Linked DNA regions of Xenopus tropicalis. The protein of the gene in region 1 binds, or shares a complex with, the protein of each later gene. Links are inferred from orthologs where the notes say so. Each region holds a gene or a part of one and is shown in the gene's direction. Other genes may lie near its edges. The genes, in order: rab8a, rab3il1 and rab3ip.

Evidence for each region.
Region 2: the proteins of rab8a (region 1) and rab3il1 are in contact, whole or in part, in a crystal structure (PDB 4LI0), measured with the Homo sapiens proteins. The link is inferred for Xenopus tropicalis from reciprocal best matches to the Homo sapiens genes RAB8A and RAB3IL1. Residues at the interface, in NP_005361.2 of Homo sapiens: Lys10, Phe33, Ser35, Phe37, Ile43, Asp44, Phe45, Lys46, Ile47, Gln60, Trp62, Thr72, Ile73, Thr75, Ala76, Tyr77, Arg79; in NP_037533.2 of Homo sapiens: Arg104, Glu108, Leu111, Glu112, Thr115, Ala116, Phe119, Glu120, Ala122, His123, Arg127.
Region 3: the proteins of rab8a (region 1) and rab3ip are in contact, whole or in part, in a crystal structure (PDB 4LHX), measured with the Homo sapiens proteins. The link is inferred for Xenopus tropicalis from reciprocal best matches to the Homo sapiens genes RAB8A and RAB3IP. Residues at the interface, in NP_005361.2 of Homo sapiens: Lys10, Phe33, Ser35, Thr36, Phe37, Ile43, Asp44, Phe45, Lys46, Ile47, Trp62, Ile73, Ala76, Tyr77, Arg79, Gly80; in NP_783322.1 of Homo sapiens: Ser199, Arg202, Asp203, Gly206, Leu209, Glu210, Thr213, Ala214, Phe217, Glu218, Ala220, His221, Val224, Asn228.

Annotation. Positions count from the first base shown.
Region 1 is NC_030677.2:104,417,643-104,421,755, forward strand, and holds the start of rab8a (ras-related protein Rab-8A), read left to right. Parts: upstream 1-1,268; 5' UTR 1,269-1,423; coding exon 1,424-1,547; intron 1,548-4,113. UniProt on the Homo sapiens protein: The small GTPases Rab are key regulators of intracellular membrane trafficking, from the formation of transport vesicles to their fusion with membranes.
Region 2 is NC_030680.2:22,474,170-22,478,309, forward strand, and holds the start of rab3il1 (guanine nucleotide exchange factor for Rab-3A), read left to right. Parts: upstream 1-1,254; 5' UTR 1,255-1,533; coding exon 1,534-1,547; intron 1,548-2,464; coding exon 2,465-2,678; intron 2,679-4,140. UniProt on the Homo sapiens protein: Guanine nucleotide exchange factor (GEF) which may activate RAB3A, a GTPase that regulates synaptic vesicle exocytosis. Promotes the exchange of GDP to GTP, converting inactive GDP-bound Rab proteins into their active GTP-bound form.
Region 3 is NC_030679.2:59,188,348-59,191,999, forward strand, and holds part of rab3ip (rab-3A-interacting protein), read left to right. Parts: intron 1-127; coding exon 128-331; intron 332-2,040; coding exon 2,041-2,169; intron 2,170-2,838; coding exon 2,839-2,951; intron 2,952-3,652. UniProt on the Homo sapiens protein: Guanine nucleotide exchange factor (GEF) which may activate RAB8A and RAB8B. Promotes the exchange of GDP to GTP, converting inactive GDP-bound Rab proteins into their active GTP-bound form.

The DNA of each region.
Region 1 (4,113 bases):
TTATTTTATAGGTCCCCTTTAAAGAGATTCTGACACCTGAAATGAAACTGCTTTTTAAATCTATCATAACACGGCCTTTCCAAGCTATTTATAATTTTGCCATTAAAATACTTTCTGGTGCTTTTTTATTACCTATCTGATCCCTCATGTCCCTTTATGAGGGTGCAGCCATATTTGTGCAGCAGCATTAGAAACTATAACTTACAGGGTTAGAAGGGAGTCAGGGTTAGAACTTCAAGTAACAGTTACTTACAAAAGCAAACCTATTAATGAAAATCATAGCATTGTTTTTTTTATATTTTATGCAGTGTCCCAATGTTTTTGGAAATTGGGTTATAATTTATGTAACGATTTACTGTATGCATAAAAATGATATTTTCAGAAGTCACCTTGAAGTTCCATGACTTGTTTAAAGCATTCAGCCTCCAGCCTCCTGCCTTTACATCACATCACAGGACTTCTTGTTGCCTTATAATATCTTCATAATAATAATAACAATAGAGGGTATGTAATTCCATATGTTATCAATAAAGTACATAAGATATGTAGAGTGATAGTATGTAGAGTATTGTATATTGATTTTCATTGTTCCAGGAAATTGGGCCAATGACATGAGCAGACAAGCAGGTCTAAAGAATGTACGCAGCCGCTATCTGCAACAAGCTCTGTAACTGGCAGCCAATAATGTTCTGGGTAACATAAAATACAAATATAAAGGCAAAATAAAACAAAAAAAGAGACATACTATTAAATATGAGACTAAAATACGGTGCCTTGCAAAAGAATTCAGATTCTTGACAAATTCTCCTGGTTACTGACTGAAAATAATCCTATGCTGAAACCTTGTTCTCTGATATTTTTTATTTCAACGCACAAAAAAAAAATAACAAGCAGGGCTGATTCACTAGCAGCGGCAACACAAACACGTCTGTTTGTAAAGCATAAGCATCGAATCATACTTGGTCGTACCGATAATATTTGTGTATGTAGGCACATAGTGCTACTTATATACACAGAAACACATTACTCAGATGGGGAAAAATAAAATAATAGGAATATAAGTTAATACAAAAAATAAAACTGCATTCCAGATTCAGTGCTATTTCTTACCAGACAAAGGAAGTTAAACACAGAAAATAATTTCCGACCTGGCAATGTATTAACCGGCCCAGAAAACTAACCAATCACGAGCACCCGCTCTGACATTACTTCCACCAACCAGCTAACGTCTCTCAGTTTGACTCGGCAGCTTTGCCTGATAAACTTTACGCTTGGGTTCGGCGGCGGGGGGTCTCCTGGGATGGGCGGGTTGCGGTGACGACAGGGCGTCACTAGCCAATTGATCTTCGCTTTCACATAGATTGACGCTGCCCGTGGCCAATTGTTCGCAGCTTCTGGTATTTCCTGTATAGTAGTTTTTAATATGGCGAAGACTTACGATTATTTGTTTAAACTGCTACTTATCGGCGATTCTGGGGTCGGGAAGACGTGTGTATTATTTAGGTTTTCAGAAGATGCCTTCAATTCAACCTTTATATCCACTATAGGTGAGTCTGAGTTGTCGGGTGGGGAGCAACTGGTGGGAGAAGGGGATGGAACAGGGGATGAGTGCTGGGGTTTTTTTTGTGGGTATACGTACTAAGTATGGGTATGCCGGTCTGAATATACATTAATACCAAGGGAGGCATTCTTCTATTGTCTGTCTTTGTAGCATATAGTATTGAACATTCAGCATATCTTTCTTGTTTTATAACTGTACGTGTCAGTATACAGTAATATAATTCCAATAGAGTTACATTATTTGTTTTTACCTGAGATAAAAATCTGTAGTGCTGATGTATGTATAAAGAATATGATGAACATTTTCCAGCAGTTCCTATGGGGTTTATAAAGCGCTAGTGTATATACATGGGCAGAAGGGAGAACATCTCAATGAATACACACACATTAAGAGCTATAGCTTGTCATTTGTAACACAAGAAACGCATGTATGCCTCCTCTGGTCCCTTATAGAGTAGAACTTTAGAGATGTCAGTCCTGTGTCATCAACAGCAGACCTATATTTTTATTTTATCACTGGTTATGATCCTGGTAGTGTAGCACCTGATTAGTTGAGGGATCTATTCCAGGTAGTTATAGCTATTGTAGAGACTACAGTGATATCATCTCTTCTGATGAACCTTTGTACTCAGTGACGGGCTGTGTAATAAAGGTGAGACTTTGAATGAAAAGGGCATTTCTTCTATTCTTATGGGTGTTAGTATGTAAACTTGCTTTATATGCCTACATTAATGCAAAGGGATAACTGGCAACAATACATAGCATATTCATTTTTTATGTTTTTACTTAAAGGGGAATTTGATTAAAAAAAAAAAAAACAAATGGGCTTAGATTATTTTTTAATTAGTTTCTCTTAAATAGCAGCTACTTTATTCTGAGCAAAAAACAAAAATCCCCTCTCCATATATTGGTCCAGTTTGTCACATCTTTAGTGGGAACTGCATACAACTTTGCCTAACTAATGCAACATCCATAGGTATCAATTAAGGTGATCATAAATGGTTCTGTTCTGCTGTCCTGTGACAGTGTTTGAGATAATGCAATATGCAATTGCAGCCCTCATTAATATACAGGTATGGAATCCCTTATCCAGAGAGCGCCAAATTATGAGATGGCTCTCTCTCATAGACTACATTTTAATCAAATAATTCAACACATTTTTAAAGTGTTTTTATTTTCACTGTAATAATAAAACAGTGTTTTGTACTTGATCCCGACTAAGGTATAATTAAACCTTTAATGGAGGCAGAACAATTGGGTTTATTTAATGTCTAAATTATTTTTAGTAGACTTAAGGTATGGTGATCCAAATTTCAAAAAGATCCCTTTTTCAGAAAATACCAGATCTCGGGCATTTTGGATAACAGGTCCCATACAGTAAAACAAAAATACTTAATATTTTCTGTGTTAGATATATGGCCTTATAGTTTAATGTAAGGGATACCCTAAACCCTGGATTCAGTTTGGAATTCAGCTGAAGTTTTTTTCCGAAGGATCTGGATTCAGCCGAATCCAAGTGCCCGGCTGAACAAAATTGGAACCCTTAAAATCACATGACTTTTGGTCACACACGTAAGGAAACTAGTACATTTTTTCCTCATGCTGCATGCATGGTTCCTTTTAGACAAATTAGGGTTTGCTTTTGGTTCAGGATTCGGCCGAATTCTTCATGAAAGGTACAGGAATCAGCCTAATCCAAAAATACATTTTTACCTATTTACTATAATAGATTAAAAGTAATCTCTACTTATTAAAGCTGCTTATATTACATTTAGAATGATAACCGGTATCGCCCAGGGTGATCCCTAAAAGCAGTTTTGAAATTCAGACATGCTTGTTCCAAAAAATCATACTTCACAGAAACCCCAGTATTTTTCTCTAACATGAACACTTCAATAGCGGAAACAGTGCTTTGAGGTGTTAAAGAAAGTGTGCTACATCAGAAACGGCAACCCTTTGGTCTAAGAGAGAAACTAGACTGGCACCTGCTTAACAGAGACGTGGCAGTTTGTCACACATTCCTACTTGATTCTTTAATGATGATAGCCGACTTCATTATCTGTAATGAAATGGGGATTGTAATTAGTGGAGTTGTAAAACAGCCAACATTCTGAGAGAGAGCTTTTTTTTTTTTTTTATTTCTTTTCCTGCATGAGCACTATATGTATCAGGTGACAAAGGCTCAGTGAAAGGTGCACTATTGTATTTGGGAATCTCTAAAGTAATGAAGGTGTTGACATAATGAACTGCCTGTATAATGTTAACCCTAGAATCATATTATATGTTTCAAAAATGCTACTGAAGTAACAAATGAAAGCAAATATTTCCTCCCTGACTTTTTTAGATGGGGATGATACTTTTTCATATTAGAGTGAAAAAAACATTTCCAAATGATATTTAATTACAACACTGTAGTATTCAATTTATTTTCCCTAGGAAACATCTGGAAAAGCACTAAGGTGAAATCATATTGCTGTAACAGACCCAGCTGGCAGCCTGTTGGTGCTTAAATGAGGCTAAAACACTTGCCTCTTGAATAAAACCTCATTGGGA
Region 2 (4,140 bases), on another chromosome or scaffold:
TAATTTTAAGCCTATGTGTGTTTATTCTGCATTTCAGGATTGCAGCCTCCATCCATAAACCTAAAAAGGCTCATTTTGCTGAATAATTTCTGTGTTTTACTAGAAATTAAAATACAATTACATTTTATTTCTAAACAGGGTATAGTTCCCCTTTAAACAATTGTGTATCCGTAATGACAGCCCCCTGCCTGTATATTTAGCTATCCAAGTTGAGATTTCCCTTTCCTCTTTCACTCTCGCACAAGTGAATTTAGGAACATTCAATTCATTGAAAAAAACAACAATACGCCCATGGGGTGCATCACATGACAGTCACATGACCTGTATGAGGGTGGACACTCTTGCAATGAGAAACAGATGGAGGTCATATGATCCTGGCCATGTGTGAAGAAGGGAGGGGGAGAGGGATATGGACACTGCTTTAATGATAGAACATCTGTGCAGAATAAGATTTGTACATCCTCTATACTGTATTACATAGGGAATATGTGACTCTGGGGATGGATAGATAGATATAGATGGATAGATCCACAGATCATAGCCTATGATTAAGTGCGTTATAGCACTATAGGCTTTTTCATGGGCATGTAATACCTAATATATGTTTTACTTCATTGATGACAAAATAGATTCATTGAGTCACATATTCCCTATGTAATACAGTATGGGTATGTACAAAGCTAATTCTGCACAGATGTGATAGATGATAGATAGATGATAGATAGATAGATAGATAGATAGATAGATAGATAGATACAGTAGATAGATATATGATAGATAGATAGATAGATAGATGATAGATAGATAGATCAATAGATAGTGTATTGTATATTCTGGATTATGTGCATATATATATATATATTTATATTATTGTGCATATATATTTTTTTCATTAAAATATGACTTTATCTTATATCATTGCATCTGAGAGCAATATCTGGCCAATTTTACTTCATTTTATATCACTGTGCATCCAAGTTTTTCCATCCCCGTTGGGACCGAGGCCCCCAATAGGGATCGGAAGACATTGGAAGCACAGTGATATAAAACAAAGTCACATTGGAAAGCTGACACTGAGTGATATATATACAGTGACACGGAGTGCAGGGATGCCCAGATATCTAGTGCCAGTCCATGAGCCTACTGTTTAAGTTGATTTAAACCTGCCACCCTGGCTGCTATCCTGTGGAGCCACTGTCTCTTCCTGCTGCCCTCCCCCTGCCTGCTCTCTGTCTCTCTGCCTGCAGCTGGAAGTGTTTCCTCTGTGAGTGCCGCAGAGTGAGGGGGGAGGGAGGAAGTGACAAGGAGGAGTAGTGAGAGAGAGCGGCACATAGTTGTGTGGGATGCAGGAAAACTCTGTGCTCTAACATCAGCCTCACAGGCTTGGTGGCCCTCCATCCTTCTGTGGGCTCTTCTGCTGCATCTGCCACCACTTCTGTGCCTCCGCCGGGTCCCCCTGTCCCATCTTGGATGCTTCCTGGATGTTCCCCCCCAACCTGAGGCAGCCTGGAGGAGAGAGTGACATCTGGTAGGATGTGGGGAGCAGGGTAAGGAAAAAGCTTGTTTTATTCAGTGGAACCTGTGTGCTGTTAGTGGGAGAATCTTGATCCTTATTACACTGCTCAGTTTGTGGGGGGTGACAGCTCTGTGTGGCAGGTTTGCCAATGTGGAAAGTCTAGCAAATACCACAGGGGCTGCTGTAAACTGGCATAGACTCTTGCTTTATATTGGGCCTGTGTGGGGCTGTTTGGGCCTTTCTGTACTTAATGCCAGTTCCTATTTTGACTCTCAGTCCAGACATGGCAGGGGGCAAAGGTGGCCCACCCTAACACTGGCCCCAAGGGTTTGCTTATGGGGCACTTTTCAAGGAGCCGGTTATTCCACAGAAAGAGGCAGCTCTCTGCTTTGCATTAAGAGACAGCTGTGCTCCATTACTGAGAGAGATGCTACGCTTCTCTTTATAAGGGTCCAACATCATGTTAAAGTGCAAGATCTTTACAAGGGCAGCACCCCCCCCCCCCCGACTTGCTTTATGACCCCCTCTGGGAGTGCTGGGTCCCAACATCTGCCCATCCTGCAAAAACTAGGCATCCCACCAGCATCAGTAACTGCCATGTTAATTTTACATCAGCTTATTTAAACCATTTCATAACAGTGTTGCTGCACCCAAATGTTGTTGGACTACAATTCCCAGCATTCTCCAGCCATGTATAAGGGTTTGAAGCATACTGGGAACTGTAGTCCAGCAACATCAGGACTGGATGCTGTTGTGAAGAGTTCAGAAGGCGCAATTCAGCCCAATCAAAGGGCATATAATTACTTTGGGCTACCTTGTTGTTCAGTCATTTCTGCCTAAACCTCTATTTTCCAGGCCTGTTGTCCATCAGGTGCATTATTAATAGAACAGTCTGACATTTATTAAGCGCTTTCTTCAATCAGTGACATGCTCTTGCTCTTCCCACAGGGAGGCCCCTATCCTGGATGGTGTCCCGGAGCTGCGCTGTTCCCCTGCCATTGAAGAGTGGAGTACCCCTCCCAAAGCCGAGTCCTCTAAAGCTTACGCTGAGCATGCTGGGGAAATCACGCAGTATGACCTCTCCCGCCTGCGCAGTTCCTCGGTAGAAATTAGAGAGAAGGGCTCTGAGATCTTGAGAGAGGAGTTGCTGAGAGCCCAGAAGGTGACCCTGTTCATTACACTTATGTAGCAGCAATCTTGAATTATTTTTTTTCTCAAACTAATGTATTTTTTTAAATAATGCTCTTTAAGAGTCTATGGGCCTGATTCACTAAAGGGCGATAAAAATTATTGCACGCTTTTTCGTGTTAAAAAACGCAAAATAACTTGCGCGCGATTCACCATAGTATTATCGCGTGCGAAAAATCGCCATTTTCGCATGGGGTATTTCTCGCACTAGTTTTACTGTTTTGCGTTAATTTCCGCGCTGAAAAGAATACGATCGCATGATTCACTATAACTTTTGCGCGCTAAATATCGCATTCGGCTATACGAAAATTAACACCTACTACAGGCAGGCGAAAAATTATACAAAAGTACAGTAAATTATTTTTTGCAATAAAATATGGACTTACAGTGTTATTTATTCAGTCTGTGTTTCCCCCAGAATGACGCAGCCGCCAGTTTGCAGCGAAATGTTCATTTTTAATACAGTAATTTTCTGCAAGTATTGGCGTGTATGGCTAACATGGCGTGCGTTCATTTGCGCAACTATTTCTATTTGGCTACAAGTGATGAAATGTTTCGCCAGGCATGGATTCGCAGCGAATTTTTTTCATGCGTTTCGCAAAACAATCCGCCAATGGCAAAACGCATGAAAAAATTTGCCACGCAAAAATTCACCGCACATCCAAAAATTGATACAAGTGTCAAAAAATAATAGTCACGGGCAACAATTTTTTTGCCCGCACAACATTTTTGCCGTTTCGGGGATCTTTCGAAAGATTTGCTAATTTTTCACTAAAGAAACCAGAACACATTTGCTCATCACTAGTGGCTACTATTTATAAGCATCTACTATTTATATGTGGCTAATATTTATATACACCATTTATATGCTTCGACAATTTTTATACACTATTTCTATGCTACCATTCATATTCGGCGATTATTCGCATAATTTAGCGCATGTACAGGCAAATACCGCATTGAAATAGTCTTTCGCGAGTTAAATAACGCTTGCAATATCGCGCGTAAAAAAGCGCGAGTATGCTTATAGTGAATTGTGCGAAAAATCGCCAAAATTAAGTGGCGGTAAAAATTTTAGCGCACAATAAGAATAGCGCACGTTTTATCGCCCTTTAGTGAATCAGGCCCTATGGATCTCTCAGGCCAGAGCTCCTCAACCTTTTGTACTAATGAGTCAAATTCTAATGTTGAAAGTCTCAGGGAGACACACAACTAGGATTGCTCACACTTTTAATACCGGTAGGGTTGCCACCTCACCCCTTTAACAGCCACATATTGATTCCACATTAATATCGGCTTCTTGTGCCTGCAGCCAAGCATATTCAATGCTATCGGGGGGCAGGCACATGTTGGGGCATTTTGAAGCATATTTAGCGTATTCTCAGCAAGCGTTTTTTGGCTTGCCGAGAATACGCTACGTGTGTCATTAGCCTAAA
Region 3 (3,652 bases), on another chromosome or scaffold:
TGTAATGTATTATTAACCCAGGTTTTAGTTTAGAGGTATTTATGAACATTTTATAGAATTTTGTTTTATTTGCTTGTTATTTAGGTTGTTGAGCTAAACTATAGTTTTTAATATTTATTTCTTTTAGATTGATGTACTGCAGGCAGAGGTAGCAGCTTTGAAAACACTAGTTCTCTCAACCTCACCAACTTCTCCCACAAAAGAACTACAGCCAGCTGGAAAGGCACCCTTTAGGAAGGGCCATGTCAGGAACAAAAGCACAAGCAGTGCTATGGGTGGAGGAACACTAGACCTCAGTGTACTGCCACCAATTGTCATGGAACTGAAAGAGGTAATTTAAAGGTTGGAATTTGAAATGTTTATTTGGTGTATTGTTTGTGCACATGTAAGTGTAAAAAACAAAAAATTCCACTCTTCATGCAAATTGCAATTTGTACAAAATATGTACGAAAGTTAGACTTTCCTGTGCAGTGGGATTTTTTCCAGTTCTTCTTTGAAATGAAAAAATAGTTTTGCAGTGTTTTAAAAAAATTGTTAGAAAACATCTCAATCCAGGGAAGCAAATCCCATCCTGATTAGCCTTCTCACTGGATCCCCTTAGCTCAAAGCAAGCTTATAGATATATACAAACATTGATTTTAACTGCTAACCAAGGAAAACTAAGCAACAAAAGGAGTTAAATTCATGGTAATATATACTTACTACACCTTTGCTTAAACAATGTCCAATGGGAAACTGTGGAATGACCTGAGGAACCAATGACCAGTCCTCATAAAACCACAAGGAGGTGCTGGATATATTTTAGGTTTGTATGTTTAGTTGTCTTGTTTCCAGTTCTCATGCCTGCATGTATGGACCATATTTGCTTTTGATTGTGTTTTTTTTATACTAAAGTAGAGTTAATTTTGAATTGTCTTGTTGTATTGAGATCAATGGCAGCTTTAGTGGGTTTAGGGTCCAGATCATAGTATTAATGTTACACTAAATAGATTGTAAGCACTAGATGAGTCATTTAAGGGTGTAGCAGCTACTTGTCACTGCTGCTCAACCCAGAAAATACCCTGCCATAGACAATACTGAAAATTGCCTCTGTTAAAAAACACGTAGAGACAATTATAACAGCATTGTCCATATTTGTAGCCGTGACAAGTAGCTGCTACTAGTGGCTTTGTAGTAGCCATGACTTTTTAAAAAGTTGTGGCGTGATTAGTCGCAGCAACTTTTATAAAACCCCTATGGTGGTAAAGTTGCCGCAACCAACTTTTTAAGTTTGAAAATGAATTGCCTTGTGTGTCTCCGCCCTCAGGAGCTGGTCCTGATGATTATAGGGCTGCTTGGCACGTCATGTCCTAATTTAATTTTATCAGCTCAATTAGTGTTTTGTTGATTGGGGTGCAACTGTTGCTCAGAGTGACTGTGTCTCAGCCACTGGAGATTGATGAATCTTTAAACCTATGTGTGAGTGTCACAATAATTTTTCTCTTAGCAGGAAAACCAGTCTTGAAGACACGAAAAAGCAATAATGGCTTGGGTAGTGTGTTTCTCCTTTGTAAAGCATGTGCAGTCATGACACTCTGTTGTATATGTTGGGGAAGTCTTGGTGAAAAAGCTGGGTACCAGCTGCCTCAAGCACTGATATTATGGTTTTTTGGTACTAGAGTATGCATGCATAATGAACAGAGATGTCTGACTGCACATAATAAGAAACTCATATCTCTTAATTAGTAACATTATATTTTTCTTGGCACAAACTGTTGTTCATAATGCACATTTTATAAAGATCCTATGAAACAATATTCCTATATTCAATGCAATGGTCTATTTCTTAAAATTACACTTGCTGCTATGTGGAATCATAATTAGGCTGCCTGCTTGTGAGCAGTATTTCAGAGTGTTGGTCAGTAAATTTTCTTTGCAGCAAACCATTGCATTTGGTCATAATGATTCTGGTTGCAGGGTAGCTTTGCATGTTCATTTATAAAGACATATTACTTTCTCATTAACAAAAACATATTCTAAAAGGTATTTCTCTTTTTATAGCCTGATTTATCCCTTTACTATGAATTCAGAACTTGGAAAGAAGAGCCTTCCATGGATAGGGCATGCCCATTTTTGCACAGAATATATCAGGAGGATATCTGCCCTTGTTTAACATTCCCTAAAAGTGAGGTAAATGTTCTTATTTTTCATGTGCTTAGTAGGAATAATACAGATATAGTTTATATTATTTTATTGTATTTGCAGTGGAGGTAGCATTAATTAAGTGTTCCCTAATCTCCCTCAACTTTTCCCTCTATTGCTTTATGTAGTAAAGGAGAGGGAGATGTAAAAACTCTTCCTTATGCGCAACCCTGGGACACAAACTCCAGGTGGGGAGGGGCTTGTTTATACAGAGTCTCTGTCTGTTTATCTCTTTAAAGGGGATATGTCACCCTAAGAAATAATTCCAATTTTTTTTTCTATTGTGTTTGTTAAGGGCTCTCCCAGTATAGAGGAAGCAGACCTAGCCCCTTCTCTTTAGTTACGCCACTGTGATAACCCTGTGCTAATGTTGCGCAACTGTGAAACATTGTAGAAGAAATATAGATGTTACTCAAGCCTGGCAGGACTTGTGAGGCATCCCCCAAACTTGTAAAGGGAGAACTGAAAGAACTAGCACTGGGACTGTAAGAACATTAGGGAGATGTAAAGGGGATTCATTATACTGAATAAAAATAAAGCTGATATTAGCTGTGGTTTTTGGGCATAACACAGTTTGTCATAGATTACAAAATGTATGTACATGCACAGTAAAATGCGCGTATATCTCATATTTTGTTTTATAATTAATTTTCTTAGCTAGCTGCAGCTGTTCTTGAAGCTGTAGAAAACAACACCTTAAGCATTGAGCCTGCTGGTCAGCAACCTGTGCGGTTTGTTAAAGCATCAGCTGTTGAATGTGGAGGATCAAAGTAAGTAAACCACATGTATGTAAAGAATTTAGTGACTGAGGTCATTGCTGCTTATATAGTTTTGACTACAATGACTAAAAAAAAAAAAAAAAAAATATATATATATATATATATATATATATATATAAAAAATATTGAACAGTGTGCTTGAGGCCTATTAAGGCGTTTTCACTGGTTATAATAAGTTGTAATGCATACTATCAATCCCTTAAAGGAGTGCTGTCCAACTGGCAGCCCGGCCTGCGACCCCCCTCTGTGTGGCCCCCACCTGTCTGGCTGATTTGATGGCTTAACTTTGTGTAAGCTTTAAATTGTATCACTACTGAGTTTAACTGGCCCCTTGCATGGTTCTCACCTCAGATTCAGGCTGTAATCCCCCTGTATTGTTTAAAAATGTAATTCCCTGTACTGTTCACACCTTTTAATCTCTGCATTGTTTACCCCCTGCATTCTTCACACCTCAGGCTCGGGCTGTAATCACCCATATTGTTCTCCTGTTCACACCTGTGTGTAGGCAGCATGGGGTAGGCAGAGTATGGCACATAGGCAGCATAGGGCAGGGAGAGTATGGCACACACAGGCAGCATAGGACAGGGAGAGTATGGCACACACAGGCAGCATAGGGCTGGCAGAGTATGGCACACACAGGCAGCATAGGGCTGGCAGAGTATGGCACACACAGGCAGCATAGGGCAGGGAGG